Linked DNA regions of Saccharomyces cerevisiae S288C. Changing the gene in region 1 together with any one later gene gives a genetic interaction. Each region holds a gene or a part of one and is shown on either strand. Other genes may lie near its edges.

Region 1 (3,173 bases):
GTTTGATGATAGCCATTCCCAAAAATCTGCATGACTCTTACGGCTATAACATAACTATATATAAAGGCTCTACACCCACGAGCAATCGCCTTTTCATTTGTTTCAATTTTCAAAAAAGGACCGACACAAATCAATAGATAATGACAATTTCGAATAAATCGTGGAGGAGCTACTTCCCACATTTGAGAAAACTACCCGAAGATGATCAGTACTTATACTCAGACGATACTAACTCCAGTATCATAGCTGAAGAGGAGCTACATCATAGCGTAGATAAGTCCTCGAAGACAGACGTTACGGCAGAAACTACAGCTGTAGAACCTCATCCTCACAATTTAAGGCATGACTTGCCATATGAAGTGAGAGATGAAGCTGGGCGTAAATGGTGGAAATATTTTGATGAATTCGAGTATCGTGTTAATAAGGAATACAAGAAATCACGTAAGTGGTACGAGTTTTTGTATCCTAATCATACTACTCAAACCAAGGCTGAAAGACGGCTTCTTTACAAGCTAGACATTATTATTGCTTTATACTTTTTTATGTTATGTTGGTCCAAGTCAGTGGATTTGAATAACTACACTAACGCATATGTTTCCAATATGAAGGAAGATTTAAACATGAAAGGTAATGATTACGTTTACACTTCTACTATTGCTAATGTTGGTGCCATTGTCTTCCAATTACCATTTATGTATTTGTTACCAAGATTTCCCTCTCATATTATTTTGCCTGTAATGGACTTGGGCTGGACTTGGTTCACATTTGCATGTTATAGGGCAAACTCACTAGCCGAACTAAGGGCTTACAGATTTATTTTAAGTGCCTTTGGCGCTGCTTACTACCCAGTGTCCCAATATATACTAGGTTGTTGGTATGCCCCAGATGAAATTAATTCAAGAGTCTGTTTATTCTTTTGTGGGCAACAATTGGGTTCCGTGACTTCAGGACTTCTGCAAAGTCGCATATTCAAAAGTTTGAACGGCGTCCATGGTCTAGCAGGCTGGAGATGGATGTTTCTGATCGATGCCATTGCAATTTCTCTTCCCACGGCTATTATTGGTTTTTTTGTTATTCCCGGTGTACCATCTAAGTGTTACTCTTTATTTCTGACTGACGAAGAAATACGAATTGCAAGGGCCAGAAATAAGAGGAACCAAATCAAAGATGGTGTTGATAAAAGTAAGCTAGCCCCATTATGGAGCAGAAAACTTTGGAAGAAAGTATTTTGTACTCCAGCATTCTGGGTACTTGTTGTTTTTGATACATGTTCGTGGAATAACATGACTGCGTATAGTGGTTCATATACTTTGTGGTTAAAGTCTAATACAAAGTACTCCATTGCCCAAGTGAACAACCTGAGTGTTATACCCGCATGTTTAGGATTTGCGTATGTGATTTTTTGTGCCTTTGGTGCCGATTTATTTAGATGTAAGTGGATATTCATGGTTTTTGCTGCTATAATGAATACCGTTTCTTGTGCCTTACTTATCAAGTGGGATATTCCTTCGAAAGCTAAATGGTACGCTTTCTTCACCACGTATTTCAGTGTGGCCGCATCGCCTTGTCTATGGTCGTTTATTAATGACTTCTTAAGGTTTGATCCTCAGGTGAAGGCTATTACATGGATCGCCATTTATTCCTTCTCTCAATCCACTTACGCCTGGATTCCTACCTTGGCGTGGCCTACCGTGGAGTCACCACGTTTTAAGACTGGTTACACCGTGAGCTTAATTTTTGGTGCTATTTACGGTTTATGGACGTTTGTTGTACTTTTTTTTTACAAGAGAAACGAAAAGAAACATGCTCTAGGTAATGGTATCATCTTGTATGATAGTAATAAGGGTGAAGAGCTTCCAGAATTTGTAAAGAAAAATATGGAGGAAAGAGATGGTTACTACTATTTAAAGCGGTCCTCGTAGTCCAATTTACGTGAAGTAGATAGGTATATTACGCTTTAGACACCATACCTCAAATAAATATATTCATGTATATAATTTAATCATCTTCTATCTATAATTAATCTCGATGTTGATAAAGGTCACCTTATACGTTCTATGAGTGAAATCGAGTGAAAAAGTGAAATTTAAGAAAGGGCTCGAAGGATGTACTGTGTAATAATTACACCTGGCCACATTCAGTTTGGCAAAAGCGAACGAGGTACAGTGTAAGAGATGTCTAGTGAAAGAGCCTGTATGCTGTGTGGCATAGTGCAGACCACAAATGAGTTTAATAGAGATGGTTGTCCCAACTGTCAGGGTATTTTTGAAGAGGCAGGTGTTTCTACAATGGAATGTACGTCGCCTTCTTTCGAGGGCCTCGTAGGAATGTGTAAGCCTACTAAGTCGTGGGTAGCAAAGTGGCTGAGCGTAGATCATAGTATAGCTGGTATGTACGCCATCAAGGTCGATGGTAGACTACCAGCTGAGGTTGTGGAGCTGTTGCCTCACTACAAACCGAGGGATGGCAGTCAAGTTGAGTAAAACCTTCCGTTCTGATATCACATGTATAATAGTAATGAATTTTTTTTACTTTTTTTTTTTTTTAGTAAATATTCTAGCATATGAGTTTATGCTTTCATTTATTTAACGTTCTGCACTTTTGTTTTTGCTGGCAAACCCAATTTTTCTACCGTCCAGTAATTCAACTAAGGCTAAAAAGACTTTCATTAGAAAAAAAAGGTCCAAGGATAGGAAAATTTCAAGATAAAGTATGGCATTATGTTAAAGAGGTTAGCCAATCGTCAAAATGGTTTTGCGTCATTCTCGTGCAGCTCAGTCGGTCTGCGATATGGTAGGACTAATCCAAGTACAAAGAGAAGCTTTTCACTTTTTCAAAGTGTAGCGGACACGTTTTTAACAGTGCATGAAGCCTCACATATACCATGGATAGTGCTTGTTCCTTTGACTACTATGACCCTTAGAACCCTCGTGACGCTGCCATTCAGTATATGGCAGCGGAGGAGAATTTTGAAACAACAAGAACTGAGGAAATTAGTACAGCCAATAACGCCCATTATTAAACTTCGACTGGCAGCCGTTACTAATAAAAAGTCTAGAAATGCCGCCAGAATTAGCTCCAACGGTTCTTTCATGCCGTTACAACTACAGAATGCTGGCGTTTTGACACCAGAACAAATTACACTATTGGCAGTGAAAGAGACAAGAAAGAGG
Region 2 (3,632 bases), on another chromosome or scaffold:
AGGATCACCGTAATCTGGATTATGTCTCTTTGTATCTCTGTCAAGTAAATCGGGGTGATTACATATTTTCCTTAGAATGTCGATACCAAATAGAACATTTCTCTTACCGTTTTGTATTTGGTTTAAATCTGAAGAATGCAGAAACTCCAAATATTTGCTTCTTTGATATTTCGTAAGCTTACAAAAGAGAACCATTTCTTTCTTTTGTGGCAGATCTTTTGCAACATCAGCTTTCACACGACGTAACAGGTACGGTGAAATCAAGTCACGCAATGCAACAGCACATTTGTAGCCGGTCTGAACTTGTATGTTTGTTGCGTTTGCATAACCACCAATATTTATAGGTATGACAAACTGTTGTTGAAACACAGGTAGAGTTCCTAATTTACCAGGGAAAATGAAATCAAAAAGCGACCAAAGCTCGGTTAAATTATTCTGTATCGGTGTTCCTGAAAGAATGATCCTATTATGTGTCTTCAGTTTTTTGCAAGTCAATGAAATCTCCGAATCTGGGTTTCTAATCTTATGTCCCTCATCTAAAACAGCATACTGCCATTTAACTTTTAGTAGCTTATCTGAATGTATTCTTAACCCAACGTACGTGGTAATTAAAATGTGCCCATCAGTAACGACTTTATCTATCAACTTATCTAAATGATAGCTTGATTCCAATGCCTTCTTTGTCCTTGTTGAGTTCTTCCAATCCTCGTAAGAAAAATCACTTGGCTTTGAATTCATTATCAAGTTCTCTAGATCGTTTTCATCCATCTTAAATTTTTGGTCAGAAGCCATTCCTGAACCCATTGAGTGCAATATGACCGTCCTCAATGGAGGCCACCAATGCTGGAACTCATTACACCATTGCTTCATCACAGTTGCAGGACAGACAATTAATACAGGGCCTGTTAATAGACCTGAATGATGCAACGCTGCGATAAATGCGATAACTTGAATCGTTTTTCCCAGACCCATTTCGTCACCAATAATACCGCCACAGTTCTGCTGGTAAAGCTCATAGAGCCACTGAACGCACGTCTTTTGGTAATTAAATAACAGCGAGTATATTTCACCGGGTATTTTGAACTGGCTATTAAGTTTTGCGTCGGGAATATTCGGATGAGGTCTTCGCCATTCTGGCAAGTCCGATGACCTTTGACTACCGCAAGAACGTTGTTTCACCCATTTTTTTAACCTTTCTTGATAATACAACTCGTCCCCATCATCCTTCGCCTCACCAGGTTGGCCTCTGAACCGCAGGTCTTCCAGTTCTTTGAGAATTTTATCGTCATTTTCTTCTTCTTCGTCATCTTCACTCTCTTTACCACTCATTTGATAGTCTTGATCGCTGAGATTGTCATCCTCATCCGTTAAATTTTCTACCATTTGTTCTGTTGCCATTTCAAAATCCTCATCTTTTTGTTCGTCATTCTTGGCATACTCTCTGTTTGCAGTGTCCAAGCTGAAACCAGCCTTGTGTCCAAATGCAGTGATCTTACCAGTCCTGATTAAAAACTCCTTCTCAGTTTCACCGGGTCTCTGCAGCCCCTCTTTGGAACCTTTATTTTCAGCACCTTGATCTACCTGCTCTTTCAACTCTTTAATCCTTGATTGGATATCGTCTATGTCCTTCAGAACTCGTTCAATATCGTCTGATTGTAAGTTCTTGATCTGGTCTCGGAGATTCTGCTTAACAGATATCCTAGTGGTATTGTTCAACTTCCTTGTGAGATGATTCTTCTTATTGACATAACGTTGCAGAGCGGTCTTACTCCGTTCTAGACGAGTCTCTTCTTGCTGCAGCGATTGTAGGTTGCTAAAGTTAGTTACATCATTAGCTATTTTTTCCTCCAAACTGCTTTGGGAAAGCACGTTAACTCCCAGATCTTTTAGTGACTCATTGTTTTCAAGTTTCGCATTGTCTTGCTGCTCTTTATCTTCCATCACTGATGTATGTTTCTCTGAGCAATGTTATATATATATATATATATATATTATCAAACCTCTTCCCTTCTTTTTTTTTCTTCCACTTTTATTGCATCGCCCTTAACTGAAATGAAGCTAAGGTATAAATTTGTACTTAGACTGATTATAATTTCTACTTACGGAACTTGTTAAGTGCATTTTTATTGTTCTACCCTCTATTTTTTAAATGTAATGTTCTTGAATACGCTACATGCGTATATATATATATATATATTGTAAGAGGATTACTGGACAAACCGAATAAAAGAGCTTGACGCATATATTTATTTATGTATATATTTACAGGCCAATTTTCATAAATAATCAGTCCTTCTGCTGGCTGTTCAGAAGTTTTAGCTTTTCCATCTCCTCCCTCGGATCAAACTTTCCTTTGCACAAGTTTTCGTACTGTTGATCGTACTTGCCAGTCGACAGAGGTGCGTTACCTGTGAACCGCTTAGTCATGTCGACGATTCCTCGCTTACAATCCAAAAATGCTTTCATCTGAGCAATACAAAGTTCGGGCAGATCCTTATTCAGCTCTGGATTGTCAAGACATTCTTGAGGGTTATGTCTCTCTATCATGACACAGGGCGATCTCTGCAAACATATAGCGACAGCCTTCTTCTGATCTTTACAACTAGCTACCATTCTTTGATATCTACAAACGCACTGCAAATTTATTTGTGTCTATTCTGTTCCGATTAATTGTTATGGCAGCCTTTTAATATACTATCCCTCTTTCTTTAAAGCTGCCCGCATAGCGAAACCTCGTTATGTTATTGTTTCAAGCACTTCAGTTTTTTTAATAATTAAAGGGATCTAAGAACACCGCAAACAATTGAGAAAGTAAACAAACGTGCACACGCAAAGGTAGTTCTCATGTCATTGAACTTTCTTCCAGGACGCCCCAATGCTACCCCTCAGACAGCTTGTCAAGCAACATGGCAAAATCATACCATCTTTGCATATTGTTCAGGGAATAATTTAATCATACTTACCAACAAATTCACTAGGTTACAGACCATATATACACAATCAGACTGTACTGCGGTCGATATTAACAGCCAGAATGGATTCATTGCCCTTTCCTTCCACAATAGGGTGCTCATCTACAAGCCCATTCATCAAATTATGCAGAATCCCAAGTGGACCCAATGTTGCCAGTTGTTCCATGATGACACGCCAGTAAACTGCCTAAGATGGTCTTCTGATAATGAGTTAGCCATTGGATCTGATTTTCTTTCTTTTTGGAAAATTAAGGATAATTTTGGTGTGTATCAACCTATTTTGCAGTGGAACCAAAAACAGCCTAAACCTGTTTATAATGTGATTATATCACAAGATTCGCAGCTGATAGTCAGTATTGGGAAGTACGACTGTAATGCTAAACTATGGAAGCGTGTTTCAATAGTCGGAGAACAAGCCATCTTTAACCTTACTATGTTGCCTCATCCGAAACCTATAACTGCAATGCGGTGGAAAAAAGAGCCAGACCAGGTGAGTAAAAACAACACTGCCTCTCATGCTCTTTATACGCTGTGTGAAGATAAAGTTCTGAGAATATGGTCTTGTTTTGAAATGGAGAAAAACCATACTGTGCAAATATGGGGTGAAGTGCCTCTTTCCCCCACGCAGAAGTTCTGCGTGATAATAGACAATTGGATCAT

The links. Genes that interact genetically often act in the same process or in processes that back each other up.
Region 2: of SPT4 (region 1) and RAD26, a mutation in one rescues a mutant of the other (synthetic rescue), as found in Saccharomyces cerevisiae (6 studies listed by BioGRID, with this or other methods).

The regions. Positions count from the first base shown.
Region 1 is NC_001139.9:616,826-619,998, reverse strand, and holds SPT4 (transcription elongation factor SPT4), read left to right. Parts: upstream 1-2,174; coding exon 2,175-2,483; downstream 2,484-3,173. Other genes in the region: VHT1 (Vht1p), read left to right, coding at 141-1,922; membrane insertase COX18, read left to right, coding at 2,721-3,173.
Region 2 is NC_001142.9:495,664-499,295, reverse strand, and holds the start of RAD26 (DNA-dependent ATPase RAD26), read right to left. Parts: upstream 1,942-3,632; coding exon 1-1,941. Other genes in the region: PET191 (Pet191p), read right to left, coding at 2,287-2,613; RAV1 (Rav1p), read left to right, coding at 2,845-3,632. UniProt on the Saccharomyces cerevisiae protein: May be involved in the preferential repair of active genes.